Oryctolagus cuniculus: one gene and its partners. The protein of the gene in region 3 interacts with the protein of the main gene of each other region in a pairwise test. Links are inferred from orthologs where the notes say so. Each region holds a gene or a part of one and is shown on either strand. Other genes may lie near its edges.

What was found.
Region 1: the proteins of CDR2 (region 3) and PKN1 interact in binary tests that used the Homo sapiens proteins (3 or more experiments, as listed by UniProt). The link is inferred for Oryctolagus cuniculus from reciprocal best matches to the Homo sapiens genes CDR2 and PKN1.
Region 2: the proteins of CDR2 (region 3) and KANSL1 interact in binary tests that used the Homo sapiens proteins (3 or more experiments, as listed by UniProt). The two-hybrid records come from large-scale screens. The link is inferred for Oryctolagus cuniculus from reciprocal best matches to the Homo sapiens genes CDR2 and KANSL1.
Region 4: the proteins of CDR2 (region 3) and TBC1D22B interact in binary tests that used the Homo sapiens proteins (3 or more experiments, as listed by UniProt). The link is inferred for Oryctolagus cuniculus from reciprocal best matches to the Homo sapiens genes CDR2 and TBC1D22B.
Region 5: the proteins of CDR2 (region 3) and C8H4orf46 interact in binary tests that used the Homo sapiens proteins (3 or more experiments, as listed by UniProt). The two-hybrid records come from large-scale screens. The link is inferred for Oryctolagus cuniculus from reciprocal best matches to the Homo sapiens genes CDR2 and C4orf46.
Region 6: the proteins of CDR2 (region 3) and TXLNA interact in binary tests that used the Homo sapiens proteins (3 or more experiments, as listed by UniProt). The two-hybrid records come from large-scale screens. The link is inferred for Oryctolagus cuniculus from reciprocal best matches to the Homo sapiens genes CDR2 and TXLNA.
Region 7: the proteins of CDR2 (region 3) and KIFC3 interact in binary tests that used the Homo sapiens proteins (3 or more experiments, as listed by UniProt). The two-hybrid records come from large-scale screens. The link is inferred for Oryctolagus cuniculus from reciprocal best matches to the Homo sapiens genes CDR2 and KIFC3.

Annotation. Positions count from the first base shown.
Region 1 is NC_091447.1:63,106,791-63,110,463, reverse strand, and holds part of PKN1 (serine/threonine-protein kinase N1), read right to left. Parts: intron 3,669-3,673; coding exon 3,559-3,668; intron 3,449-3,558; coding exon 3,305-3,448; intron 1,555-3,304; coding exon 1,479-1,554; intron 1,400-1,478; coding exon 1,255-1,399; intron 1,171-1,254; coding exon 978-1,170; intron 343-977; coding exon 263-342; intron 185-262; coding exon 109-184; intron 4-108; coding exon 1-3. UniProt on the Homo sapiens protein: PKC-related serine/threonine-protein kinase involved in various processes such as regulation of the intermediate filaments of the actin cytoskeleton, cell migration, tumor cell invasion and transcription regulation.
Region 2 is NC_091448.1:17,041,769-17,046,151, reverse strand, and holds the start of KANSL1 (KAT8 regulatory NSL complex subunit 1), read right to left. Parts: upstream 2,838-4,383; 5' UTR 2,742-2,837; intron 1,188-2,741; 5' UTR 1,051-1,187; intron 1-1,050. UniProt on the Homo sapiens protein: Non-catalytic component of the NSL histone acetyltransferase complex, a multiprotein complex that mediates histone H4 acetylation at 'Lys-5'- and 'Lys-8' (H4K5ac and H4K8ac) at transcription start sites and promotes transcription initiation.
Region 3 is NC_091450.1:16,872,687-16,876,803, forward strand, and holds the start of CDR2 (cerebellar degeneration-related protein 2), read left to right. Parts: upstream 1-1,216; 5' UTR 1,217-1,485; coding exon 1,486-1,564; intron 1,565-1,953; exon of another isoform or gene 1,954-2,094; intron 2,095-4,117.
Region 4 is NC_091436.1:132,355,389-132,359,061, forward strand, and holds part of TBC1D22B (TBC1 domain family member 22B), read right to left. Parts: intron 2,128-3,673; coding exon 1,999-2,127; intron 453-1,998; coding exon 387-452; intron 1-386. UniProt on the Homo sapiens protein: May act as a GTPase-activating protein for Rab family protein(s).
Region 5 is NC_091439.1:138,686,639-138,690,888, forward strand, and holds the start of C8H4orf46 (renal cancer differentiation gene 1 protein), read left to right. Parts: upstream 1-1,450; 5' UTR 1,451-1,695; coding exon 1,696-1,845; intron 1,846-3,176; coding exon 3,177-3,332; 3' UTR 3,333-4,250. Other genes in the region: ETFDH (electron transfer flavoprotein-ubiquinone oxidoreductase, mitochondrial), read right to left, coding at 993-1,026.
Region 6 is NC_091438.1:140,273,073-140,277,402, forward strand, and holds the start of TXLNA (alpha-taxilin), read right to left. Parts: upstream 2,925-4,330; 5' UTR 2,757-2,924; exon of another isoform or gene 2,730-2,756; intron 2,615-2,729; exon of another isoform or gene 2,400-2,614; 5' UTR 2,210-2,399; coding exon 2,044-2,209; intron 1,552-2,043; coding exon 1,213-1,551; intron 1-1,212. UniProt on the Homo sapiens protein: May be involved in intracellular vesicle traffic and potentially in calcium-dependent exocytosis in neuroendocrine cells.
Region 7 is NC_091449.1:41,227,142-41,231,138, reverse strand, and holds the end of KIFC3 (kinesin-like protein KIFC3), read left to right. Parts: intron 1-270; coding exon 271-401; intron 402-697; coding exon 698-821; intron 822-1,290; coding exon 1,291-1,420; intron 1,421-1,501; coding exon 1,502-1,731; intron 1,732-1,924; coding exon 1,925-2,059; intron 2,060-2,369; coding exon 2,370-2,478; intron 2,479-2,874; coding exon of another isoform or gene 2,875-2,879; exon of another isoform or gene 2,880-2,902; intron 2,903-3,084; coding exon 3,085-3,110; 3' UTR 3,111-3,455; downstream 3,456-3,997. UniProt on the Homo sapiens protein: Minus-end microtubule-dependent motor protein. Involved in apically targeted transport. Required for zonula adherens maintenance.

The DNA of each region.
Region 1 (3,673 bases), on a different chromosome or scaffold from region 3:
CACCTGTAACCACAGCGGTACCGGGTGGCTGACCCGGGGGACCCGGGGGTGGGGGTGGGGGTGGGACCTGGACGCGCTGGGGGCCCCGCTGCCCACGGCCTGCCTCACCTTTCCAAAGTGACCCCGGCCCAGCACCGCCAGGAACTTGAAGTCCTCGAGGCTCAGGGGCGCCTTCCTCAGGGGGCTGCGGAGAGAGGGCGCGGGTGCTGGGGGCGGGGCAGCGGGCTGGGGCGTGTCCCGGGTGCAGGGGCGGGGCTGGCACCTGCACAGGGCGGGGCCTGGGGTCTCCTGGGTCTCCAGAGGCAGCTCGGGAGTGCTCGAGGTTTCCTGGCTGGGGGGACTCTGTGGAGAGAGGTCCGGCTGAAGGCAGGTGGGCTGCCCCCCTACACAGAGGGGCCACTTCCCTCTCTGTCCTCTCCCTCACCTCCTTGCTCACGCCCCTCCAGCCACAGTGCTCCCCCACCCTGTCCCACACTCTGAACACACCAGGCACTTTCCTGCCCCAGGCCCTTTGCACGGCTGCCCCCCCCTCCTGTAGTCACCTGTGCAGGGGTCGGCTGAGCACCACAGGGAATGACAGGACCCCTCAGCACGGCCCACCCCCTTCTCTGCCTTCCTCTCGGGAACATTTCACACGCCACATATATTTCTCCCCAAATGCCCACAACAGCGGGAGCTGGGAGCTCCATCCGGGTCTCCCACTGTGGGGCCCCCTGCTGCCTCCCAGGGTGCGCATGTGCAGGGTGCTGGAGTCCGGAGCCGGAGCCAGGACTTGAACCCAGGCCCTCCGATGTGGGACGCAGGTGTCCTGACCATGAGGCCACAGCTGGGAAGCCCTGGCCATGTGACAACACAGCCCTCAGGAGGCTCCTGGATTCCCCAGAGCCAAAGAAACTCGCCTACTTTGACCAATGACCCAGGCGGGGGGGGGGGGGGGCGCTCAGCCACCACCTGTGACGCCTGCAGCCCCAATGCACCTGCCGGTTCGAAGCCCGGCCGCTCCCTGCTGATGCCGTGGGGAAGCGGCCGCTGATGGCCCAGGTGCTAGGGACGGGGCCGGGGCAAGGGCGGCTCACCAGGCCACTCGGGCTGGAAGGAGGCCCCGGCGGGCTCTTCTGGGGGGAGCCGTCCACATCGGCGCTCAGGTTCAGCTTCTCCAGGGACACGTCCCTGCGCAGGTGTCACAGGGAGAGCTCAGCGCCCCGGGATACAAGGGGGCGGCGGGAGCCCCGGGGCCGCCCTCCCTGCCCTTACCCTGCAGGCCGAGCCTCGGATCCTGGGGGAGCCCCGGGGCTGAAGGTGCCGGTGGCCGAGGCTGCGTTGGGGATGAGCCTGCGCAGGAGCCGCACCCACGTAGCCACGTCTATGTTCAGCTGCCTGGCGCGCTGGAACGCCTTTCCTGGGGCGGGGCGGGGCAGGTGTCACTCCCGGGCCCCCTCCCCAGCCCCGCCCCGCCCAGCCCCAGCCCGGCTGCTCACCTTGCTGCTTGGAGAAGATCTTCTTCTGCCTTCGGAGCCGAGGGATCCGCTCAATGACCGGGTTGCGGAAGGTGACCTGGGGGAGGGGCCGGAAGCTGAAGACCCCGCCCCTGTCCCTCCCCCCGCGCGGCGGGGAAGCCCCTTTGCAGGGCGGATGGATGCCCACCCCTCCCTGTGTTGGAGGCTCAGGCCCCAGTGCAGCTGCGGCCGGAGGGGGCGCTGCCCCAGGAAAGGATGGCTGGTCCCCGGGTCTGGGAATGAGCTCCGGCCACAAACCCAAGCCCATCTCGGACTTTCTAGATCAAGATCGCGGGATGGTGGCGCAGGGGTTAATCCACAGCCTCTGACGCCTGCATCCCTTGCCCACACCTAAGGTTCGAGTCCCGGCTGCTCCGTTTCCCAGCCGGCTCCCTGCTAATGTGCCTGGGAAAGCAGCGGAAGATGGCCCAAGGGCTGGGGCCCCTGTACCCACGCGGGAGACCCGGATGGAGCTCCTGGCTCTTGGCTTTGGCCTGGCCCAGCCTGGGCTATGTGGCCATTTGGGGAATGAACCAGCAGGTGGAAGAGCTCTCTGTCTCTGTCACTCTGCCTTTCAAATACATTGCCGGGGTCCCCCCGTCACACACAGCCCTGACTGCCCTAAGCCTGGTCTACAACCAGCGGTATCATCTGTGACCCCTCTGGACACACAAGTGATGGAACTTTCCAGAAATGCATGCTACGGCATTTTTCTGGGCATGCATATGGTGGAACCCACTGGAAATGCACGTCACAGAATTTTCTGGAAACGTATGTCCTAGACTTTTCTAGAAACGCATGCCATGGAACTGTCTGGAAGTCCTGACAGAAACCCCCTCCCCAACCCCCGCCCCCAGCCCTTCTCCCTCTCCATGGGGCTTAGATAACTGATGGGGAGGGATTTGTGCACAGGGAGGGGTGTGCACGTATACACGTGGTCCCACGCTTACAAAGATCTGACTTCATAATTTCTTTAGGGGGCGGAGGAAAGGGCTACACAGTGGCGCAAAAGCAATGCGCACTCAGTACAAAAAAAAAAAAAACCTAACAGGACTTTTTGGGAGCTCGGATCTCCATCTGGGCAGGTGGTATATGCGTGTGTGGGCTCTGGGTTTGCCTTACACAGCCGGGCAGCCTGCGGGCAGGAGGTGGACCAGTTCTCCGTGCTGGGTTAAGGTCAGGTTGCAGGGGCTGGTGCTGTGGTGTAGCCGGCTAAGCCGAGACCCGGGAGGCCGGCATCCCACAAGGAAGCTGCCCGGCTTCCGACCCAGGCCCCTGCTCAGGCGCCTGGGAAAGCAGCGGGAGATGGCACAAATGCTTGGGCCCCTGCACCTGCTGGGGAGACCCGGATGGAGCTCCTGGCTCCCAGCTTTGCATCAGTGCAGCTCCAGCCATTGCAGCCATCTGGGGAGTGAACCAGAGGATGGAAGACCTCTCTCTCTCTCTCTCTCTCTCTCTCTGTAACTCTGCCTTCAAATAAATAAATTTAAAAGACCAAAACACAGGACTGTCACAGTGGGGACAGGAGGTGGGGGTGCTACTGGCATCCGGACCAGAGACTCGGATAAACACCCCCACGGTGCACAGCATGGCCCCACTGCAAAGAATGACCCAAGCCCCAGCGTCAAGGGTCACAACCTCAACCACACCTTGCCGCCTGCCCAGGGTTTGTTCTTCTCTTCTGTCTCAATGAAACTGTTTCTATTTTTTTTAATTTAAATATACTTTGCATCAGAATCACAGGTCACCCCCCCCCGGGGGGGGCCCCCGTGGGCAAGCAGGAAGCGCTTTCAGGGGTTGGGCTGTACCTCGGCCAGCAGGCAGCCCTGGGGCTCCATGTCCAGCTGCACCTCGTGTCTCTCGTTGTCCAGGAAGTCCTCCAACTTCAGGAACTTCAGGGCACACAGGCCCCGCTGGTCCCTCCAGAACACAGCCAGCTCCAGCTCGCGAGCCTGGGGCAAAGGACAAGGGACAGAGCTGGGGGTGCCCCCGGGTCCAGGCCGCGCCCCCCCCCCGCCCCAGCCCTCCCTCTGGGCCCTGCCAGCCCCCAGCAGGGGCGCACCCGCTCCAGCTCCAGCGTGAAGCTCTGGTCCCAGGCGCTGGGGCCGCACGGCTTCCAGGACGTCCGACCGACCACCGTGTTGTCCAGTTTGAGAACAGCACTGACGTCACCTGAG
Region 2 (4,383 bases), on a different chromosome or scaffold from region 3:
TGGAGAATGTGTTGGCCATCTATATGCAGAAGACTAAAAGAAGCCACAAGAGAACCAACACATCGGGGGCCGGTGCTATGCCTGAAATGCCGGCATCCCATATGGGCGCCGGTTCTAGTCCCAGCTGCTCCTCTTCCGATCCAGCTCTCTGCTATGGTCTGGAAAAGCAGTACAAGATAGCCCAGGTCCTTGGGCCCCTGCACCCATGTGGGAGACCCGGAAAAAGCTCCTGGCTCCTGGCTCCTGGCTTCGGATAGGTGCAGCTCCGGCCGTTGCAGTCATCTGGGGAGTGAACCAGCAGATGGAAGACCTCTCTCTCTCTCTGCCTCTCCTCTCTCTGTGTAACTCTGACCTTCAAATAAATAAATAAATCTTAAAAAAAAAAAAAAAAGAGAGAGAGAGAGAACCAACACATCAATGAGAGCTTCTTCATTTAAAGGACATCTGTCCACTCTGCCCAAATAAGGTTTATCCTGTGAGATGAAACTTGGCCCAAGTGCCACCTGTTGAGAAACAAAGTAAAATCTCACGCAAAAGAGTAGGAGAAGCAGGAGGACTCTCCAAAGAGCTGCACACCCAAGCCAGTAGCTCTTAGAATGTTCTAATACTCCATATGAAGTTTCAGAGTAAACAGTTAATGACACATCTTTTGTAACACATGAATCAGCTACTGATTTGCAAGAGCAGGACACACCCTAGCACCCATGACTTTAAAGCACCTATTTGAAAGTGGACCTGAAGGTGGAACCCATCCCACTAGGACTAGAGCAGAATTTTACAACTACATAAGTTGTCACAATTTGAAGTTAAAAAGATGAACACATCATTATAATGGGAGATAATCCGAGACCTTCATTAATACTTTAACACCAGTAATTACAAACAGTAGCAACGCAAGGTAAGGAGTAACCAATCACTCCTGCAAAGCAATCTTCAAAGGGAGCAGTGACAGGTAAAGGGACTGAAGAACAGCAACTTCAAAAACCAGGATATTCTCCACTCTTCACAACACTAACGAAATGAGGCTGATGAGAGAAACACACATCTTACCTTAAGAGGCACCCGAATCGCATTCATAGTGTCAGAAGAGTTCAGACAAGATTCAGAAATGAGCAAACAGGGAGTCAGTGATCCCCTCAGTCACCAGGTAGGAGCAGGCAGAAAAACTTCCTGTTTTGAGAAGTTACCTAAAGGAGAGAGCTCTCAGTTAGACTAAAAAATAATACGGAATATGCAAGTAGTTTAAGCTACTTTTATATATATATATATATATATATATACACACACACATATATTTTTTTTGTTTGTTTCATTCATCCCAAAACACAGTACTCTTTGGAAAAGGGCAGATACTTGCATGTAAACATACTTTACCTGAAAAGACAAAGGTATGACATTTTAGAAAATATATAATTGCTTCTCAAAGAATCAGAAAACCAAAATCCAAGAAAGGGGAAAAAAATTTTAAGAGTACTTCATACACATTATGGAAAGGTGATTTGTTAACCACCTAAAAAAGGATCCTTACCATATTTAATTTTATATAGTAAATTAAAACTCCTCTTGATGATTCTGACCTAAAATTCTGAGCTTAAATTAAGTTTCAGAGCTGATTCTACATAATAAATAAAATCTATTGACCAAAGTACTACAAACAAATAAGGCACTTCTTCCCAGGAGATCTTTAAAGGAAACCCTTACAACTTCATTCTAGGATGAGAGGTGGCAAATCTGCCTGGAGACAGGAGGATGGACTAAATGACCTCTTGTAGGATCCTACAGTTCAAGTCCTAGGCCTGAATGAAATTCCAGCTTAACCAGTTACTGCTTCGCTTAAAATGGAGGCTTGCCCGAGTAGGGACAAAAATAACAGCACTCACCTCTTAAAAAAAAAAAATAAGGAAAAATCAAAGACTAAAGTATCCTCATTTCAAAAATAAAAACAAAAAGGCAAACCCTCCGGAGCGGGTCTGTTCCGGCTATGCCTCTGCACTTCGGCTTCGAGGACTTGGCATCACTCTCCGCCCCGCTCACCGGATCTGGGGGTGCCGGTGGGGGCGGGGTGCGAGGAGTTCGACTCTGGACCCAAGTCTCGGGCGGGGTCCGGACCCCTCTGCGAACCCCCCTCCCGGGCGGCGGGAGAGGAGAAAGGGGAGAGCCCGAGTTCTCACCCCTCCCCCACCGCGGACCCCAGTCCCGAACCTACCCTCCGCACCTTCCCGCAGCCGGGCGACCCCTCCGGCCTGACCCCCATTGTTGGGGAGGGGCGGATGGGCGAGGGGGCTCCGGGCAGGGGCGCCCGCGGCCGTGGCCCCGGCTCGCTCCGGGAGGGGGCGGCCCGCGGGATGCAGCTTCCCTTCCTCTCCGCGTCGGTCCGTCCCACCTCGGCTCGGCCTGGCGCCCTGGGCTCCCTCGCTGCCCCCGGCCCGGCCCACCCCCCGGGCCGCCAGGCCCTCCGGCAGCTCGGCCAGCAGCCCGCGGTCCAGGCCTACCGGTGGGCGCGGGGTGGGGGTCCCTGTGCCCCACACACGAGTCCCCGCTCCCCCAGCCCAGCCGATTCCAGGGCCCTCGGCGGAGCCCGTTCCGCGGGCCCCTCGACCCTTCGCCTCCCGGCCGGGCCGCCCCCTCAAAGCCCCCGGGTCGTAGCCGCCTTCCCTCCCCCACCATCACCCCTACCCACTCGTGCCCCCCACCCCCCGGGGCACCAGTGCCAACGGCAGCTCCCCCAGCCCCGGACCTACCTGCACGGCTCAACCAAGCCTAGAGTGGGGGCGGGGAATCTTCCGCCCTCCTCTGTCTCTCATTGGGCCTTCCGGGGCTCCTCGTGGGCGCCATTGGTCGAGAGAGGGTGTCCATCAGAGCGATGGGGCGGGACAGAGAGGGGAGAGGGATGCTGGTGCTTCGGCGTCTCTGTCTCTGTGTTATCTCGCTGTCTCTGTCTCTGTCAGGGCCCTTGGAAACGAGAGGCTTTTGGACAGGAGCTCTGGAAAGGGGCCCTGAGGTGGGAGGACTGGGAATCGGGAATCCCAGCGGTGCTTCTCACCAGTAGGCCACTCTGAACCCCCTGAGTCCCCTTGAGGTTCTCCTCTCCATCACCCCCAGCCCCTGCCCCTCACCCCTCTGGGTTCTTCATCCAGGAAGCGACGTGATGAAAACTCGAGGCCGGAAGGCCATAGGGAGAGATTTTATATATGAATCTCGAATTCGCACATATAAATGTTTATATGTAAAGCCAGTCACGTATACGGCTCCAAGGGCCTGGAGAGGGACACATCTTTTACAAACAGGGGAGGACTTCAGATAAAACCGATGGAAGAAGGGATCAAAAATCACTCCAGGCTGGCCACGGTGGTTACTTCCCGGAGGGCAGCTCCAGTGAGCAGGTGGGAGAAAGGCTTCCAGCTCACTGTATGGCCTTTGTATCCTTTGCTACTTTTAAAATCATTCATGAACATCCTAATTCTGAAAAAAAAATTTTTAATTGATTTAAATTTTTAGATAATCTGAGGTTGAGGTTGCAAAACCTGGAAATGGGGACAGCGTACAGATTTGGGGAGGAACCTTGGGTTTCAATATGTTCCATTCCAAATACCAGGGGTTAAGTGAGTGAAGGTGTCCCAGAGACAACTAAAGTTACAAACTTTGAGAGAGCATGGGCAATCTGGCTTAGAAAAGATTTAGAGCTCTCTGCTCACCACATGATAATGCCCAGAGTCTCCCCCACACATGTAAAAAGACACCACAGTTAAAGTCAGGAGGGTGAGAACGAAGGTGAAATAAGAGAAACAAAATATTGATGACACATGAAAGTTAAGGGAAGAAGCGTTTCTGGGAAAACAGAAATAATTGGGGCTGGTGCTGTGGTGCAGCAGGTTAAAGCCCTGGCCTGAAGTCCCCTGTGGTCACTGGTTCAAGTCCTGGCTGCTCCACTTCCAATCCAGCTCTCTGCCATGGCCTGAGAAAGCAGCAGAGGATGGCCCAAGTCCTTCGCATCTGGAGAGTAAACCAACAGATGGAATACCTCTCCCCACCACCCCCGTGTCTCTACCTCTCTTTTTTTTAAAAGTCTATAAAAATAAATTAATTAAAAAATAAAAATAATAAAACTTTAAGAGCCTCGTAGGTTTTGAGAATCAATACAGGGACACTCCTTAGGCTAAAAAAAATCCATAAATTAGTATTCTTAACTTTTTCTTGCCACAGACAATTTTATCAGTCTGGTGACACATACAGATACCTTCTCATCATGATCCTGTTTGTTTGCTTTTATTTTTATTTTTTTAAAGATTTATTGTATTTATTTGAGAAGTAGGGTTAGAGAGAGAAGCAGAGACACAGAGAGAGAGGTCTTCCGTCTGCTGGTTCACTCCCCAAAATGACAAC
Region 3 (4,117 bases):
TTATTTTTCATCATAGTAGTGTGTGCACCAGGGGAAAACAGTAAGATCACAGAGGGGCTGATAACACAAATCAAAGTCAACAAATCCCAACTCACCCCGCACTGCCTCCCATTTCAGCTCTGAGCTCTCTTGGGACCTGTGGCAATGATCCGTTGAATCCCCAACTTCAGGCATTCCCTATCAAGGTATCGCTGCGACGGATGAGGATGTAGCACCAGTCCCCTACTTCTCCCTTCCTCCGAACTCCTGGTCGTTACGATCTCACGTCCTAGAGACAGCTCTTCAACCTCTAACATCTCCGACCTCTTTCGGCCGCCCCCTCCCTTGACGGCTGTCCCACTGTGTAACAGACTCCGTGTTTTACCTGCACGGGGGATGCAAAAACCTTGAACCCACGAGCAGCACGGATGGTGTTAGGTCTGCGGCAAGCAGCGGGCACTGGGGCCAGGGGCAGGCCTCGCACGCCGCCCGCAGACTCAACGCGTGGTCTATGAACCTTTATAACGGAGCACGCGAAGCTGCTCCGCAATTTCCCCCGCTACGGAGACAGCTTCAGCGGCAACCGCCCCCGCCCCGGGTGCCCAGGCGATTCTGGCGCCGACCGTTCTGGAGGGAGTACAATTCCCAGCCGCTCGGAAGCGAAGGCTCGGATGTCAAGAAAAGAACGGCGAACAACTCAGAAGGCGTTGTTCTCAGCTCCCAGCTCCCGACCGACTCTCAGTCTTCGACAAAGGCGGGCTGAGCAATGGCCCTGGGGCTCGCGGCACCGTTCGCAAAGCCTCCCGCCGGCACGAAGGACGCCCCCTCGACAACCGCCCACTGCTCGGAAGCCCGAGTCCTCGCCCCTCGGACCCGCGCAACCAGTCCGCCCCTAACGGGCCGATCGGACACGCACCACAGGTGCAGGCGAGGTATCTGCCGCCTCCTCCCGAACGCACCCTCAGGAGCTACACAACACAGGCGAGGGGCGGGGCTTTCGGCCGCACCCCTTCACTTCTTCCCCGCCTCCTTTGTTCCTTCTGCAGCCGCCATTGGCTGCCTGCCCTCGGGACAGGCCGAGCCGCGAGCCTGTAGAGAGACACGATTGGACGAAGTCACTGCCACTCATCCGGCGGCCCGCTCGCCATTGGCCGACGCGCCGCCGGGGTTTTGAATCGCGTCCCCGGTCGGGGAGGGTTCTGCCAAAGTGCCACGTTGGGCCGGGTTGCGGTGTGAGGAGCCGGCCGGGCGCGCCAGCCGGGGGGCGCCGGCGCCCGGGCGCGTGCTGGGGGTGGGGGTGGTCTTTGGGCGGCACGAGGCGAGTCAACGGCTTGCGGTGCGGGCGGCGGAGGCCGGCTGGCCGGCCGGCGGCTGTACTGAGGCGGCGGCGCGTCCCACCCGAGGGCGGCTCTGGCTGAGGGCGGAGGAGCCGGGGCAGAGCCCGGGGCAGCGGCTGAGGCGGGACGGCGGCGGCGGGGGCCGCTGCCCCCGGAAGACCCCGCGGAGATGCTGGCGGAGAACCTGGTGGAGGAGTTTGAGATGAAGGAGGACGAGCCGTGGTACGACCACCAGGACCTCCAGCAAGGTGAGGGCGAGGGCGTGGGCGTCGGCGGGGCGGCTTGGCGCGAACCTTTTTTTTTTTTTTTTTTTTTTTTTTTTAAGTTGTTTTTGCTCGCGGCCGGCCCGGCAGGTGCTGGGTAGGACGCGGGCTCACCTGGCGGCGGGGCCCGCCCGTCGCGCCCGCGGGGAGCCTCGGCGCCGGGCCCACGGCCTTGCTCTAAGCCTCGCTGACGCGCGTGCTGTGCGGACTGCGCGCCCGGCACTCATTGTTTGCATGAAGTCAGTCGGTGCTCCCCGCGTCCCCCCGAGGCACGGAGGGCTGAGCCGGCGAGCCCCGCTGCAAGCGGCCGGGCCGAGAAGCCCACCGACCCCGCGGCCAGCCCCCTCTGCAAGTGCTCGCAGCGCCTTTCTGGGCCGGCCGGAGCGGGAACGGCTGCAGGCTGCGGCGAGCCCTTGGCGAATACCAGCTCTTGTTTGCTCCGCTGCATTCCCCTTGGAGAGAGGAACGTCGTCGCTGTCCCATTTTCCGGATTGGGAAAACCAAGGCTAGAACAGGTAGGAGGCTTGCCCGAAGGTGAAGTCGGGGCGCCAGTGTTTTTGGACCCGCACGCTCGGAACGAGGAGTAGTGTCACTACCCAGGCCCCGTGGCTTCCTTGCCAGCATATTAATAGCAGACACTTGCAGCTGGGGACACTGTTTCTGTGCCCTCAATACAGATGCTCATTTAATTCACGAGCCCGTTAGTATCTGACATCAGCCCTGGTAGAAGCGCATGCTGCCCGGGAAACCAGGATTCCGCTTCAAACTTCGGAGCAGACAGCCTTAACACCAATCCGGAATTTTTCCCAGGCATCTTCCATTTCTGCTATTCTGTGTAAATTTCTTTCAGCTTTAAATTTGCTGTGAAAATTTGCATAACCGTCTAGTTGAATATTAAATGGTCATGATGCTTGAGCATACTCACCATTGAACTTGGCAGAAAATGTAGACTAGAATAACTCAGAAAAGGAAAAACAAGCACCTTTTCTTCGGGAAGGTAATTTCTTAAATTAATATGCAACCATTTAAGCCACCCTTATGCTTACATAGTTCTAGTTGTTCAGCAATTGTAGTATGTATTTGCCATCATCTTCTCTGTGTTGGAAAGACAAGTTTGTCATAACACTTGAACAGACTTGTTTTTTGGTTTTTCCCATAAGAATTGATGGCCTACTTTGATACTTTCTCTAGCACTGATGAGGCAACCACCAAGCCATTGCAACATTTCCCTATAGTAATTTAAGCAGTTTGTAAAATCAGAGCTGCATCTTTTTTTTTTTCTTTTTTTTTTTTTTTGGTCTGGAGTTTAAGAAGCATGAATATTTAAGGACATAGATGTTTTTGTTTTGGTATCTCCAGCATCTAGCATAATATCCGGCCCATCATAGAAGCTGGGTTTTAATATGCGTTGAGCTGAACTGAAGCGCTCATGAAATTGCTGTTTTCATTGCTCTCTTATCAAGTGCCTTGGTCCACACTGCACCTTCCCCCGTGGCAGGGTGTCAGAAACAACCAGCTGTATTTCATTGCCCTGAGAGGCCAGTGCAACCTGTTGGGGGTTACATGTGGAAGTCTCTTTAACCTTTGATCAAAAGGTATCAGCTCTTTCAAGTTTAACAAATCTTAGAGAACCTCCGAAACTCTCCTGCCACATTGCATTTGGAATTTGTTCCATACTTTTCACAGAGCTTTTGCATCTGTTATTACAGTGGACTTTGACATAACCCTCTATGTCATAACCAGCTATGGGGGCGGGGTAGGAGTAGACAATGTGAAATTCCAACAATCCTAACTTGTGAATGGAATGTGGCCTATAAAAGAAAGAAGGCTATAGTGTGAATGAATAAAAGCTGATCTTTCCCCCTCCAATTTTGCTAAATTTTAAAAAGAATTCCTAAACTTCTAACAGATTATACAGCTTGTTCACGTATCAGAAATTCATGATGTACTCTCCGCCCAGTATCGGTCTAGGTCCCAGCCCAGGGTGCCTGTCCCCATGATAGGGTCAGCGGGTCCCTACTCTGAGGGTTCGTGTTCACTAGAGAAACTTGGAGATGCTCCCTCAGGGCCTGTGCCCACCGTGGAGCCTGGCTCATTGCAGGCCCTAGCAGATATTTGTTGCTAAGTAAACCTGGGCAGCAGGTCTGTCCCGTTAAACAGATAGATTAAGCAGGTCTCAAGGAATTGCATCACCTACAGACATCTGTTCAGTTTTTAACATCCTCACTGTTAACTTAGTGAGCAAGGCTTATTGGGAGAGAGCTGTTTAAAACAATTTAAAGAGCCTGTTCTCAAAGTCTTAAGACAAAAAATGTTTTTTCTTTAAGAACAAAAGCCATTTCCTAAAGATTTCTGGGGTGTTCTTTTTAAATTAAAATACTGAAAAATGCTAACCTCCGTAGACGCTCTTATTCATGGCTTGTTTGAAACACGCAAAGCTGTGAGCAGGCAGAAGGAGAAAACCTTTCGCTTTAATGCACACACTGTTGTCAGAGAGCTGAGGTAGGACAGTAATCTCTGTGGGCAAGATCTTTTCTG
Region 4 (3,673 bases), on a different chromosome or scaffold from region 3:
GAGTCCTGGGTGCTCTACTTCCCATTCAGCTCTCTGCTATGGCCTTGGAAAGCAGTAAAAGATAGCCCAAGTCCTTGGGCCCCTGCACCTGTGTGGGAGACCCAGAAGAAACTCCTGGCTCCTGGCTTTGGATCAGTGCAGCTCTGGCTGTTGCAGCCATCTGGGGAATGAACCAGCAGATGGAAGACCCCCCTCTCTCTCTTTCTCTGCCTCTGCCTCTCTATAACTCTGTCTTTCAAATAAATAAATTAATCTTAAAAAAAAAAAAAAGCTCCATAGCTGAACATGAGGTACTACCATGGTCAGTGGTAAATCTGTGAACAGGTGCCACAGAACTGGGGACGGGGCGGGGAGAAGGACCAAAGAACATCAAGTAATCCCCTCACCTCCTGCACAAGTGGCTGCTGGAACAATGGAATGAGAGGATTCGTCCTTGGAATGTCAATGTGAATCTGAAAAAGAGAAGCCACGTCCAAAAACACAAATGCCAGTCTATTCTTTTGACAAAGTTATTTTCTTATGAAATGAGAACAAAGAGACTAAGAGTTACACTGTAATTTTATCTTCAGCAAGAACTGACAGACCCAGAAAAAAGTCCGCTTCAGTAAACTTAGCTGTCCACGTGGAGTGTGCTTTCATGAGGGCAACAGCTTGTCAAACACTGAGGAAACCTCCTAATGTCAACCATGTAAGCCAAACAGCAACAGGTTTCAGGACCCAAGAGTACCACTTGCTTTGTCCTTGGCTCTGGAGTCAGTTTTGCTCTGGGCCGGCACTTAGTTAATAAGTGTAGTCAAAGTATCTACCCCCCTGTCAGAATCTTACCCATCAATACTTCCTAAGAACTAAAAGGTCTCTGACAGCCATAAAAATGAGCCAGAAGAGGGCCGGCGCCGTGGCTCAATAGGCTAATCCTCCACCTTGCGGCGCCGGCACACCGGGTTCTAGTCCCGGTCGGGGCGCCGGATTCTGTCCCGGTTGCCCCTCTTCCAGGCCAGCTCTCTGCTATGGCCAGGGAGTGCAGTGGAGGATGGCCCAGGTGCTTGGGCCCTGCACCCCATGGGAGACCAGGAAAAACACCTGGATCCTGGCTCCTGCCATCGGATCAGCGCGGTGCGCCGGCTGCAGCGGCGGCCATTGGAGGGTGAACCAACGGCAAAGGAAGACCTTTCTCTCTCTGTCTCTCTCTCTCACTGTCCACTCTGCTTGTCAAAAAAAAAAAAAAAAAAAAAAAAAAGAGCCAGGAGAGGGAATCGAGGAGGAGCTGCTAATGAAGTCAAGGTCTTCTGTTAGCAAAGAGGTCATTCTGCTGGGTTCAGCTGTGGGGATTTCCCAACGCCAGTCTGAAAGAGGCTCCTTAAGTTCTTGGGGCTGTTGTGGATAGCCGCCTACCCCCACCTTCTACAACCACCTGCTGCTCTCCTGCTCCCTCCATGTGAGTGCAGCAGACATTCCTGCATAGGCAGTGAGGGGAGACTCCCACAGGCAGACACAGACAGAAATGGGAGCTGAACAGGCCCAGCGGCTGCCAGAGGGCACACTGACATCACAGCCCAGAGGGACTGGACCACTCCAGGGCGAACTTACCCTTCTTCTCACACTCCGTAACTGCTACTACTCACAGAGTGGCCTGGACTGGCAGCGTCAGCGCTGCTCAGGAGCTTGTTAAGAGCAGGCCTCGCCCCAGACTCCTGAATCAGAACCTGCATTGTTTCCACAACCCCCAGGTGGCATTTTCATGAAGACCCTGGGTACTGCACGCACATTAAAATTTGAGCACTCTCAGGCCACTAATTAGTGACCAAAAAAAGTCTATTTACAATAGCTAGACTGGGATGTTATGAATGAAAAGGAGGTGCAGAAAAGAGGGGAATAAACTGAATTCCTGAGCAGCATGCCACAGCCTGAAGACCTAGAAATCTGTACCCTGCTGGCATTCCCAGGAGACACACCTGCAGTGTGACTAATAGGCAAAGAGGCTGCAGGTGACGACCCTACCTGTCTGTAGGTATCCTGATGGTGTTCCTCATTCCGAGAGTCATAATACTGCTCGATGAAGCCAAAATACTCCTCACGCTTCCGCTGCAGAGTCAGTTTCCTCCTCTCCGTGTTTGCTGGGAGATAGCCCTGGGGACAAGACTGCCCGTCAGAGGGGAGCAGATACTGGCTGGGTGAATCCTTGGTTTTTTATTTTAGCCTGAGCAGAGGCGTGGAAGCTATCAAAGGAACAGAAGGAGAACGGCCAGCGGACAGGATAAATCCCTCGTTTTGGCCACCCAGTGCTTCCCTCTCTCTCAATGAGATCCACATGTGGGCGGATGAAAGCGGGCCAGCTTTCCCAGGGTTATTTACTCCTCTGGCGCAGTGCTGCACTTGGAGCGCACACTGCTGCTGAGCCTCCATGGCTCCCGGAGTTGGCACAGCGAGCGCTGAAATGTAGGTCAGCAGGAGGGGACTGGACCCCAGTCACGGCCTGTGAGGCCTGCGTCTGTTCAGGGCCATACTGTGAGAAGCACAGGGATCTGGCGACCTCCAGGCTGCTTCTCAGTGGTGTGCCAGTTACACATTCTTTCTGTGTCACAGTCAGAACCACCAACTTAGGAAGCTGCAGGGCATCTGGGAAGTGGCAGCTTCAAGCCCAGACAGAACTTTTGGCAGCAGCCACTCCTGGCCACCGCTCCAGGCCAGCTTTCATTCTTATCCCTGCCCTAGATGCCACTCGCATTCTTACAACTCCTGTTCTGCTTCTGTTCTTACCAAATCTACTCTGCATCATTCAAGCTTACTAGAAGTGGCAGGAGCAATGTCAGTAAGGTTACAAGGCTGGGGGTGGGGAGCACGGTTAGGAGAGACCCCTCCTCTGCAGACAATTATGCCAAGCATTTCTCAGGGAGTGCCTGGGAGCAGGGTCCGTGGTTCATGCATTTTTGTACTTGTTCACAGCACCTGGGGCCGTGCCTGGCAAACAGCAGGCCCTCGGTAAGTCCTTACTGGATGGATGAATGAATTTCATAGGCTCAGAAAATCTAAGTGTCCTATCGCAGGGGCTGGCACAGTGCCCCGCCCTCAGTGAAAACAGGACTTACAGCAAGGCTTCTAAGGAAGGTCCGCTGATCAATGCTTCCAAATGATAAAGTGGGGTTCAACCACTTTGGCTATTGCGACTGATAGAGCAGTGAGGCGCAGGGAATGTGAGGGCTTGCTCAAAGTAAGCACTGGGATCACCCTGTCGTACTTCCTCGCTGCTGCGGAGAACGTGAGATGGTGACTTCAGGAGCAAGTTGTGCTCTTCTACATGTGTGGAATAAGAACATATTCCTGCTGTACGCATGTGGAAATAAACGCTAAAGGATGTGTTTCAGGGCTGGCGCTGTGGCATAGCAGGTAAATCCGCCGCCTGCACTGCGGGCATCCCATGTGGGCGCCAGTTCAAGTCCTGGCTGCTCCTCTTCCGATCCAGTTCTCTGCTGTGCCCTGGGAAAGCAGCAGAAGATGCCAAGTGTTTGAGCCCCTGCACCCACATGGGAGACCTGGAGGAGGCTCCTGGATCCTGGCTTCAGATAGGCTCAGCTATGGCCGTTGTGGCCATTTGGGGCGAGAACCATCAGACGGAAGACCTCTCTCTCTCTGCCTCTGCCTCTCTGTTAACTCTGCCTTTCAAATAAATAAATAA
Region 5 (4,250 bases), on a different chromosome or scaffold from region 3:
GGCTGAATTCTGGTAGAGCGCTGAGGGCACAAAGTCCAATGAACTCAGAACATCACCCTATCAGTCACACCAGCAGCACATCCGTGCGCACCTCTCTGGTGCCAGTAGTTCGCGAAGAAAGCCAGGAATCAGCATCCAGAGAAAACAGTCATTTTCAACGGATTTGGTTAGCGCTGGCCCAAGACGGCGGTAAATTAGGATCCGGAGCAGACAGCGCCTGACTACCGGGATATTCCAACAAACGTAAAAGCGGGCCCTGGTGTAGTAACAAGAGGAACAGAAGCTTCGACCGAGTTCTAACCTAATACTCGGAAGCCAACTTTAGAAAATTCTACTCCTGACATTTACAAGCACGCCCTTGCATTAGCAATGTGTGCAGGTGTTTAAGCATTCCATAACCAAAACCTGCCATTCAGCAAATCAAGCCGAGCCGATTACAACAGAATTCAAAGCTCTCTTAAGTAAAAACTTCTGTTCAAGCTAAAGTTTTTTATTTTATTTATTATTATTATTTATTTTTTATTTTACGGGTCGTATCTAACGGCAGCAAGGAACACCCCCGAACTGACTTAGGCCACGCAGAGCCATTCCCAGCTCCAGGCAGAGCTGGTGACTCGGGCGGGACACGAATCGGAATCCTGGCAGAGACCCCGCCGGAGGCGGGGACGGCTAACACCCAGGGGCGCCCCAAGGGGAAAGGCGCCCACTGGTTCCAGTGCCACCCCCGGCCCGGGAGCCCGCCGAGGGCAACGTGTTGACAAGTGTCCTCCGTCCCCGACCTTTAACCCAGAGAGGAGTCCTTCCAACTGGGGCAGCCTGAGGGGAGCGCGCCGGGCCCACCAGCAGGGGCACCGCGCGCCGGGCCCACCAGCAGGTGCACCCCGCGCCGCCGCGGGCCGCGGGCGCGCGCTCCCAGCCCCCGGGCGGCCCGGCCCGCCTCGCCCGCGCTCTCCCACTTCCCTCCACCCATCCCCACGCGAGCTCCCTCTCACCCGGGCAGGAGCGCCTGGCGAGCGGCGCCAGCATGTTCGAAGGAACGGTGACACTCGCGGCCGGACACAGCGGGCGGACGAGGGCCGGCGGCTGGCCGCGGGGGCGGGACCCTAGGCCGCGGGGGGCGTCATTCCCGGCCGGAGGAACCTGCGCCTCCGCTGAAGTTCGCCTCTGGGCTCAGCCGACCGCCCTCGCTGCGCGGGGACCTACCCCTCTCTCGCTCTGCGCCGGCGCCACACGTGACGCGCGGGCCAGCACAGGCTTCCGGGTCAAGCAGCAGACCAGGAAAAGCGCGAGGACTCCAAGTCCCAGAGCGCCCCGCGCTTTCAGGCTGAAAACTCGGCCTGCGCTTCCGGCTTGTCCAGCCGTGGTGGGCGGGGCCCGCACAGCCCGGAGCGTAACGCACGCGCACTGCGGGGCAGTGGGAGGGGGCGCGAGGCGCACGGCATCCTGGGAGTTGTAGTCTTCTGCTCCCAAGCACTCCGCGCCCTGTGGGAGCTCCGCGCAGCTGCACTAAGCCGCCCAAAGGGCATTGACGGACGTTTGATTGGCTGTCCCGCAGAAGCGAACCGTCTCCGTCTTGGTGGCCCTGGGTTGACTCACAAGGCGGGCCTTCGGGAAGGAGAAGGCGGCGCCTTTGGGTGTTGGGCGCGAGCGGTTGAAAGGCGGTTGGCGTCGGTTCGGCTGCCGCGGCCCCTGCCCATGGCTGCGCCCGCGGAGCTGCGGGCTGCCTCGCCGCCCCCGCCTCCGCCCTCTTCTCCGTCGTCCTCGGACGCCTCCTCAGCCTCTGCGAGCGCCAGCGGCGGCCGCGCGGTGGATCGGCTGGAGCTGGTGGAGCTGCAGATCGGAGACGTGAGTGTCGCGGGGCCCGCAGCGAGAGCCGGGGGCGCGACCCCGGCCGCGCGCGCCCCGCACTGCGGCTCCCGATGGCCACCTGCCCGGGCCCGGCGGCGGGCTGCGGGGGCTCCTTCCGCCCGGCCTCGGGCTCCCCGGACCTCGCTGCGGCCCGTCCCGCCCGTCCCGCCGGAGCCCCGCACTGCGGCTCCCGATGGCCACCTGCCCGGGGCCGGCGGCGGGCTGCGGGGGCTCCTTCCGCCCGGCCTCGGGCTCCCCGGACCTCGCTGCGGCCCGCGCCGCCCGTCCCGCCGGAGCCCTGCACTGCGGCTCCCGATGGCCACCTGCCCAGGGCCGGCTGTCGATGCTGCGGTCGGCGCGAGGCTTGCTCGGCGCTGGACTGCTGTCCTGGGTGTCTGCTGGGAAACCTGGCCTTGCCGCGGGCCAGCACGCACGCCCCACCCTAGCACCCCGTCCTCGGGATGGATGATGCGCACCGTGTGTCCAGTGTGGACCAGGCGCCCCTGTGCGGGGTTTTATCCTAGGTGCAGAAAACCTTTGGAAACTGAGGCTAACGTCAGGGCTGGGTGTTCTCTGAATGCGCGTGTGGTTTCGGTGGTGGCTCCTCTCTGACGTCTGCTTTTCTTGTCCTGCAGGGTCAGGATTGACAGCAGGGTGGTGGCACGGTGCCTTTGAGGCTGCACCATCAGGCGTCGAGGGTGAAGTCCTTCAGATACTTAGGGCAGGTGGAGAGGAGGCGTCTCCATCGCTTTCCGGAGTTCAGGGACTCCACGGTGTTTTCAGGGAAAATAAAAATACCGCCTTGGTCATGGCGCACAGACGGTGGGGCCAGATGCCCTCAAAGCTGACCTGCAAGTCAGTAATTCTTGAGGCTCTCTACAAACAGCCGATGTTTTCGTTTGAAAACTTACTACTTTTATGTTGAAAACATTTATTTATTTACTTGAAAGGCAGAGCCAGAGAGAGAGGGAGAGGCAGGCATTGTCCGTCCCCTGGTTCCCTGCTCGGATGGCCGCAGTGGCCAGGCCGGAGCCAGGAGCCGCGCACTCGTGCGGGTCTCTCGTGCGCGTGCTGGGCCCCAGGTACCTGGGCGGCTCCCAGTGCCTTCCCGGTGCCCTGGCGGGAAGCTGGGTCAGAAGCGACACACCTGCTCTCACCGGCCCTCTGCATGGAGGCCAGCATCACCAGCTGCCGCTTAGCTCACTCCACCAGAGCGCCAGCCCGTGGAAGTGTGTAGTAGCCTGGGTACCAGATTCATGTGAAAGCCATTTTCCGACTGTGTATAAAATGACAGCTTTAAAAATAACTGCTTTTTCTTCTCATCTCAGGCAGCGTTTTCATTAAGCAAGCTTCTGGAAGCCACGTCGGCAGTGTCGGCGCAGGTGGAAGAGCTGGCCTGCAAGTGTACAGAGAACGCGCGCTTCCTGAAAACGTGGCGGCACCTCCTGAAAGAAGGCTACGAGTCTCTGAAGTCTGACGGCTGACTCGGCCTGCTTAGGTGCTGGGCTAACGGCCGGGCACCCATTCCCGGCTCCTCGTGTGTGGTATCTGCACATGTGGATACGTGTGTCCCACATGTACGGCTTGAGCTCCTTCTAGCAGGCCCTGTACACTCAGCACGGCTTCTCGTGATTGAATTCTGCTTGGTTTTCGTGACTTTCGTGAAAGCAGAATGCTGATACTATTTTTGATGCCAGCCCGTGTTTGCTTACGCTTTAGTACCTGTGTCCTCTAAATTTCATGGAATCCTGTATGCAAATGGGTTCCTGTATGCAAATGCAAATGTTAATGCTGCCACAGCGCTGCCAGGGTGGATCAGGTGAACCGTCACACGGTTTCTGAGAAGACGCCAAGAGCAGCAGTGTTAGAAGTTGAGCTGCATCTTGGGGACCACTGGCAATAAGGGACGGAGAACGCACCTTTCCTTGGCCCTCTTAGGAGAAGGCTGTGGTTCTTTGAAGACTGACGTCGCCGGTGGCAGAAGGAGCTTCAGTAGCTAAGTTCTCTAGAGCTAGCGGCTGTGTTTTACTTCTGTATCCTCAGCACCTAAAGCAGTGTCGCCCAGCGTCAGTGTTGACTATGAGCTGGCAAATGTCATTCGAGCCTGTTTTCTTCTTCCTGATTAGAATCTGTGTCTGAGATGGAGAGAGACAGGGAGGGCGCCCCCATCTCCTGGCTCACGCCCCGAATGCCTGCAGTAGCCAAAGCCGGGAGCTGGGGACTCACTGCAGGGCTCCCACGTGGGCGGCAAGGACACAGTTACTTGAGCCATCATTGCTGATGCTGAGAACCCATGTTAGCAGGGAGCTGGAGTCAGGAGCGAGAGCCAGCAGTGAAAGCAGGCACTCCCGTGCAGGGTGCAGGCACCCTGATGATGTCTTACCCACTAGACCAAACACCCG
Region 6 (4,330 bases), on a different chromosome or scaffold from region 3:
CAATGCCTGCCTGCACCGCTGTAGCAGCTTCTCCATGGGGGTGGGATCAACTCAATCCTGCTTATCACCGCGGCCTCAGTGCTGTCCACAGAGCCAGCGCAGCACGTGTCCCACAGATGCTTACCAAAACCTCTTGGAATTCCTTCGGGGGGGGGGGGGCACCACTGGTGGGAGAAAAGCTTGTCTGCCTCCCAGCAGATAAAAGGTATCCCACCTGCAAATTCAGGGCTACTGTTTCAATGCAAAGTGGGGCCTTCCCAGAGAAGCAGGATCCGAAAAGGTCTCCTGGCCTCCGTGAGAAATCTATAGCCCTGTGTACGAGGCATCCAAACAGGGAACCTTATAATGAAGAGACCTTCAATGTGTGTTCCCATGATTCTTTAAAAAAGTTCCTCTTTCAATTAGGGTGACAAGTGCTGGGGGCGGGGGAAGGGCGGCGAGACAGGGACTAGGACACAAGTCCAATGTCATCTAACCCAGATTCTTAACAGACACGAACTCTGCTGTCAAAAAACCGTCTCTGCCACTTCCCCACTGCCTGTGCCCAGTGGGGGGCCTTTCCCCAGGGGCTGCTGACCAGGCTCCAGGCTGCTCAGCCTGCGGAGGCCCGAAGACACCAGCACAGAGATGCCAATCACTGGCACACAGGCCAAACCCGGCTCATGCATGGGTTTTGTTTGGTTTCTACTACTGAAATCTACAGATTTCACCAGACTCTTGATTTCTGGCTTTTCTTAACAGAAAATAAAATTCCAGCTGCACCCAGTCTGAGGTTCAACACGCTCTCAACTGACGAGCTGGCAGCAGGCACAGTGCAGAGCACTCAAGGAACAAGGCTGCAGTCCACCCTGGGCAGAAAGCAGGCCCTCCCTCGGTCCTGGCTTACACAGACGTTTGCGTTTGCAACTTTGGCCTAGCCCAATCCTCTCCTTGTAGAGAACTGGAAACTATTGCCCAGGGCGGGGAAAGGACATGCCCAAGGTCACACAGCAGGGACGAAGCGGTGTGGGCAGGTACAGAGCCCATCCAAACCTCTCCGCTTTGTCCATGAGGATCAGGCTCCATTTCACTTGCTCCCAACCTGAACGACTCCGGCCTGTGGCTGGAATACCCTGCGCTTTGAATCAACCAGGGAGACTCCCTGCTGCACAGCCCAAGGAATGTCAGGTGCAAAGCCCTCCCCACAGCCCCCCGCAGCTGCCCTCTGCTCACCCAGACCCTTGGCCTTCTTCTTTTCCTGTGGCCTCCGGTGGTCTCGGTCTCCGACCTCATCGCTCGTCCGGATCTCTTCCGTGCCCGGCTCTGCCTTGGAGGTCTCCTTCTCGCCATTGACTACTGGGGTGCCCGGCTCCGGCTCCCCATTCCTTGCCACATAGGCGCGAGACTTCTCTGCATCTTCAGGTTCAGGGGGCTCACCCTGGACCCCATCCTCACCCGGGGCCCCCTGGTTGTTGTCCACACAGTATGTACTGAGTATGTCTTCCAACTGGCGGCTCAGCTCCTCAGAGACATCACAGAGCGCCCCAGGCTGAGCAGTTTTGGCTTGAGCCCCTAGGGCAGGAGAGGACGAGAGGCAGCGACAGACGGCAAGGTTAGACCACCACCTGGGATCGTGAGCCCAGCCAGCCTCACTGGTTCAGGTTTAAGGTTGCCCCAGCTTACTTAATTCTCGCAACCTCCCCAATACAGTTTGTTCAAGCATAAAATAAGTACGTACGGCACCTGGGACTGCCATGTCGCAGGAGGCAGGCAACTCAATGTTTCGTCCATTCCCCTCCCTCTAAAAGCCCCCGCTTGCTATGCAAGCAGCTCCAGAAATGCCTCGACAACGAACCAAGGGCAGTGACCCACACTGGTGACCGAGGTCCTTCGGATGGAACCCGGCGTCACTGGCTGAGGCCTCAGGTGCCGGCCACCTGCGAGAAGCCTGCAAGGGCCTCCCCTCCCCAGAGCCTGGGATGCTCCACATCCCCGCTGCCTCCTCCCTGGGCCGGGCCGCGAACTCCTCCCCCAGGCGGCTGGAAACGCAGAGCTGGCACACACCCTCCGGCCTCCCGGGAGCCTGGCTGCTGGCACCTTCGGCTTCTCGGGCGGGGGCCGGCCGGCCGGGCCGCCCCTGGGCTCCCTCCGCTCCTGCTTCCGGCTGTCCCGGGCTGCTTTTGGGGTTGGGCTGTTTGGCAGCCCCGTTCTTTTTGTCTTGATTCTTCATTGTGCGCTGCCACCTTAGGTTGGGATTGGATCCTTGAGAAACACAGTTGCTATTTTCCACAGAATTCTTCGCAGCCTGGATCAGAAATCACAGCCCAGGCGCACCTTCAACGGAGGGAGCCAACGGTTCTCCCGCTGTCCGGCCGGTCAGGGGGCCTGGCGCACCCCGGCGGGTTTCCGGGGCGCTGCTCCTGGAGCGGGTGAGGAGAGAGGCCTCCTTGTTCCCCCCGAAGCCACTTCCCGGCCCCACACGGCCCCTCACGGCAGGCCCGGCGCGGGATTGGCTCCCGGCCGCAGACTGACGTGGCGGGACGCTCGACTCCGACCCCTCCCCCCGCGCCCCAGGTCCCACGTGGGCTCCCGCGCCCGCGCGCACGCAGCCACCCACGCCCCGCGCGCCCTCCAGTCGCGCGCATGCGCACAGCGTCACCCCGACTCCCCCCACCCCCGCCGCCGCCCACGCGCAGAAATCGGAGCAATTTCCCCGCTGGCCGAAAGTGTCCAGGTCTGCAGGCCCTCACCGTCCGTCGTCCCGCCGCTGGGCTCACCTCACGGGCGACGTGCGACCGCGTCCCCAGCGCTGGCCTCGCACCGGAAACCCTGGGTAACCGCTGCCGGCAGAGCCGCCTGTCCGAGCCACAGCCAATTAGTAGCCGGCGCTGGCGCGGAGCTTGCCGGGAGCCGGGAGCGAAGGCGGCCTCCAAGGCGGGTGCATCGGGAGGGCGGGGACAGGAGCGGACTACACGTCCCACCATGCATCGGTCGACACAACTCCCAGGATGCTCTCGTCCTCAGAGCCGCGGACTCCGGAGGGCTGGGGAGCCGGTGGTTCTGAGCAAACCTCCACGTCAACCTCGCCGGTGTCGTGCAGAAGCCCTGTGCGGCCCAGCCTCACTGCGCCCGCGTGCCTCGGTCCACACTCCGTCAGTCCGGGGACTCCGGAGAGGCCTGGGCTGGGAGGCAGGCCTGTGTTCCAGGTCCGACTTCATCCCTAGGTGCCACGCGACTGGACGTTCTTTTCTCTCCCTGCCTCGATTTCCTTATTCTGACGCAGGCTTTCAGTGACCGTAGCGGTTCTCTGAGCACACCCCGTGTGCTTCCCTGGTCTCTTAAAAGCCCTGGCCTCCTAGCTGCTGGAGATAAGTACTATTTGTCATTCCCATTTAACGGAAGAGGGCTGTAAGGCTCGCGTTAGACAGCTCGCCCACGGTCACAGATGCTGGGTTCGAGCAGTGGTTCAGAACCTGACTACTCCGCTACCCTGCCTTTTACTCAGAAGAAATAATCACCATTGCAGGCGTTCTCCAAGAGCCCGGGTAACTTGTGAAAGGTAGTTACCCCCCCCCCCCCCCAATAAGCTCGGCAGTCCCGCAGGAAGGGGCAGAGGGGTCCCTGCAGGGGTGTTTGACCTCAGGCCCATTCCTGAAACTTCTTCGTCCCATTTTGTACAAAGTCCTTGTGGTACTAGGGCTAAAACTGAAAAGGCCAGATTTTTCTCCAAAGGTGGGATCACAATTTTTTAAAAAGATTTATTTATTTATTTGAAAGGCAGAGTTACACAGAGAGGAGAGGCAGAGAGAGAGAGAGGTCTTCCATCCGCTGGGTCACTCCCCAATTGGCCGCAACCGCCAGAGCTGCGCCGATCCGAAGCCAGGAGCCAGGTGCTAGGAGCTTCTTCCAGGTCTCCCACTGGGTGCGGGGGCCAAGGACTTGGGCCATCCTCCAGTGCCTTCCCAGGCCATAGCAGAGAGCTGGATTGGAAATGGAGCAGCTAGGAGGTCTTGAACTGGCGCCCATGTGGGATGGCGGCACTGCAGGCACCAGCCCCGAGGTCACAATTCTTTATCACCGCTGCTTATAGACGTTGGAATAAAACCCAGTACTCTTTGCACCTGGAATCTGAAGAGCCTACGTGGTTTGGCTTTTGCCTCTTCCATCCAATCTTGGGTTTTTTGCTCCAACTCTACTTTTATGATTCACAGGGTTTCTCAGGTTTTTGCAGATGCTTGCTATTTTTCTTCCAAAGTGCACTTATGGCAAAAATAAACAACAAACTTGAGAGCCATCTCAAAGAGCACATCAAAACCCTCCCAGTGCTCTGCCACTGTTGCAGCTCCCTAGT
Region 7 (3,997 bases), on a different chromosome or scaffold from region 3:
GGACACCGGGGTTCTGCACAGCGTGTGTTTTGCCTCGGGAGCAGAGGCCCCGAGACCCCAGGCCACTTTAAACTGGGGCCTAGGCAGCAGTTGCTGCCGCCAGTGGAGGGGGCGTTTGGGGGACATGACCAGCAGGCAGGGAGGTGCTCTGGGTAGGGAGGCTCCCCTGGAGTGGTGGCCGAGGGGCTTAGGGGCAGCAGATGCCACGTGAGCATGGCACAGCCCCCCCCCCCCGAGAGGCCTGGCTCACGGGGCCCTTTCCTTCTTTAGGGAACCCCCGAGAACCCTGGCATCAACCAGCGGGCACTGCAGCTGCTCTTCTCCGAGGTGCAGGAGAAGGCGTCCGACTGGGAGTACAACATCACCGTCAGCGCCGCCGAGATCTACAACGAGGTCCTCAGGTGCAGGCGCCAGCCCCACAGGCGGCTGTGGGCACCGCTGGGGACTGGACGAGAGGGACTGTGGAGGGGGGCTCTCCTTGTGGGCTGCAGGGGCAGTGGTGCACAGCAGACAGCAGCTGAGGCTCTGCCCACAGAGCTGCTCACTGTGGAGGCAGGAATGGCGCCATCTACAGGACTCTTGGGGAACAGCAGAGTGCAAGGGAGCAGCTGGAGGAGCAGGGATCTAGGTGGGGAGCTAGGAGAGGCCTCACCTGGGAGGAAGGAGTAACCGCCCTCCCCCGGCCCCGCCCCTCCAGGGACCTGCTGGGGAAGGAGCCTCAGGAGAAGCTGGAGATCCGGCTGTGCCCAGATGGCAGTGGGCAGCTGTATGTGCCAGGACTGACCGAGTTCCGGGTGCAGAGTGTGGACGACATCAACAAGGTGTGTGGCTGGGGGGCTCTGGGGGAAATGCTGGGGAGACCCTGGGCCCACGCAGAGCTGCTGTGGACCAGGACGAAGCCAGGTTCCACGGCAGCTTCTGCCCTGCCCTGTGTGACTCGGGCCTGCCCCTGTCTGCTCTGAGCCTGTTTGCTCCTCTCCGGTGTGGAAGGGCGGGCGTCTGCGGCAGTGATGTCCACGTGCCATAGCAGTTTCCAGGCCCGATTGCTCTGCTTCCCCTCCACTTCCCTGGTAATGTGGCTCCTGAGAGCAGCAGGCGATGGCTCAAGTACTTGGGTCCTTAGTTCGCCCCTGGGAGACCTGCGTTGAGTTCCAGGCTCCTGGCTTTGGCCTGGCCCTGCCCTGGCTGTTGTGGGCATTGAGGGACCGATGTCCCTCAGCTGGGAGATGTCTGCGAGGGGCGTTGGGGCCAGGGCGATTCCGAAGACCTGTTCTGAACCCTGCGCCCCAGGTGTTTGAGTTCGGCCACACCAACCGCACGACGGAGTTCACCAACCTGAATGAGCACAGCTCCCGCTCGCACGCCCTGCTCATCGTGACGGTGCGGGGCACGGACTGCAGCACGGGCCTGCGCACCACGGGTGAGCGCTGGACCCTGGGCAGCCTGGGCGGAGGCCCCCCCGCGGCAGGCAGCCCTGACCTGGCTGGCACCCTCCCTGCAGGGAAGCTGAACCTGGTGGACCTGGCTGGCTCAGAGCGCGTGGGCAAGTCGGGAGCCGAGGGCAGCCGCCTGCGGGAGGCGCAGCACATCAACAAGTCGCTGTCGGCGCTGGGGGACGTCATTGCCGCCCTGCGCTCGCGCCAGGGCCACGTGCCCTTCCGCAACTCCAAGCTCACCTACCTGCTGCAGGACTCGCTCAGCGGCGACAGCAAGACCCTCATGGTGGTGCAGGTGGGCGCTCGTCATGGGCTGGCACCAAGACGCGTTCCGGGGCCCCCCCCCCCCCCCCCCGAGCACCACGCTCCTGAGTCAGTGATGTGTGTGCCTCGCACACCCTCCTCCCTCCCCTCCTCGGAATCACTGTCCCTCTGGTGCTACGGGGGTGGCTGGCTGGCCTGGGTGGGCTGACCACTCTGTTCCCCAGGTGTCCCCTGTGGAGAAAAACACCAGCGAGACGCTCTACTCGCTCAAGTTTGCCGAGCGGGTACGCTCTGTGGAGCTGGGCCCTGGGGCTCGGCGCACAGAGCTGGGGTCCTGGTCCAGCCAGGAGCATCTGGAGGTAAGGGAACCACCCCAGGCCCATCTCGGGCTGGCCCGGGGCAGGAGGGGCGTGAGCAGCAGGAAGGGGCTTAGGGGACCGACTGGGCCTATGGGTGAAGGGGGTGGAGCTAGAACGAACCCAGATGCCGCAGCTCTTTAGTCCAGATCTGTCATGGTCAGGGAGGCCTGCAGGCCTGGCACACGGAGTACCAGCGTCTCACTTAACGAGAGCCCGTCTCAGGGAGCATAAGAGTTAATACGCCCATTCACAGATGAGGAAACTGAGGTTTGGGGAGGGAGGCCCAGCCATTGTCCTCCTCCATTCACAGTGGGAGCCAGCTTGCCAGGCACCGCAGCCCTCAGCACGTGCCCACTCAGCCCCCGGCTCAGGGACCACGAGCCGTGCGGGCTCCATCCGAAGGAAGCTGCAGCCCTCGGGTAAGCCCCCAACCCTACCCCCTCCATCATCACAGCCCCCAGGTGCCCTACCTGGGTGGGCTTTTCTAGTCTCTGAACCTCTGTCACCCTGTCCCCTGCCCTGCAGCGTCGGGCACACAGCGCTGGGTCCACTTTACAAAAGGAGGGAGGGGCCGGTGTGAGGAGCAGCCCAGCCCTCCTGCTGCCTAACTGGGGCTGGCCGGGCTCAGGGAGCAGGCCAGGGACCCCTACCCTGGGCACAGAGAGGGCGGAGCCCACCTGTGTCCTGGAGAGGCGAGCCCCGGCACAGGTGCCAGTACCCACTGGAGGGCCGGCAAAGGGCTAGGGTTGGCAGGACCCCGTGGGGGCCTGGCCTGAGGCACGCCCCCAGTGAGACGCCTGTCGCTTTGATTTCAGCCTGAAGGCTGGGCTGCAGAGTCTCCAGGTGAGTGTGGGGCCAGCGGCCCAGCGCTGCACACCCGCCTGCCTGGGTGGCGGGGCTGGCTCTGTCCCCGCTGCCTGCTGTCTGTGTGCTTCTGCGGGCTCCCTCCTGCTCTCGCAGCACCGCTGTGGGCACCCCTGCCCGCTGCTGGCCCGCAGCTGACCTCCCCGCCTCCCCTCCCGCAGGGAAGTCGAGGCCCTTGCCTGTGTGATGGATGGACAGCCGGCCGTGCTCGCCGGCTCGCAGGAGACAGGGACGTCCCGGCCCCTCGCAGAGCAAGAAGCAGCGGCTCGGGCTCACCAGTGGCGCGGACGGCGTGAGCTGCAAGGGTGGGCTGGCCAGCTGCCCCCAGGCCCGCGGGGTCTCCCAGAAGGCACCGAGGGGCTCCAGCCACGTGTACATAGCATTCCCGGGGCGCGGGGCCTCAGCTGCTCCCCCCGGCGCCTGGCAGCAGGCACTCCAGCGTTCCCACCTCTCCCCCTCTGAAGTCCTATTTAAGAACTTTTGGAAGCGTAGCCATTTTTACTTCTTAAAATAAAAGCCTTTTTTTACACGAGTGTGGTCTGAAAGAGCTGGGCTGGCCAGCCCTCGGTCCAGCCGCAGGGGGTGTGGCCTGCTCACCCCCTCTGCCCAGGGTTCACAGGGGCCAGCCCCGCCCCTGGCTGCTGCAGCCATCCCACGGGTGTCTCCTCCACGCAATAGGTGGGAAACTGCAGGGTGCGGCTGGGGCTCCGCTCTCCCCCACTCCCCCTGCACCAGCCTGTGCTGAGTCCCAGCCCTGGGAACTTGTGCAGCGGGGAAGGGCAGTACAGAGCCGCCCTCAGCGGATGGGGCGACGGCGCTGGCCGTGGGCACCCCCTCACCTGGTGCGCAGCCATGGCGGGGTGGACCTGACTTAGCCCTTTGCTGCTGTGCCCTGCTGGTCAGACAGCCTGCAGCACCAGGGCTGGCAGTCCTGGGAGAGCCTGGGGGCCAGACAGTGCCCCTCCCCACGAGGAGAGCAGGCAAGAGTTACAAATTTAATAAAATTCACCTTATAAATTACAGTAGCAGCCCTGGGGCTCAGTTCGCTGCCTAAGCAGGCAGAGCTGGGCAGCC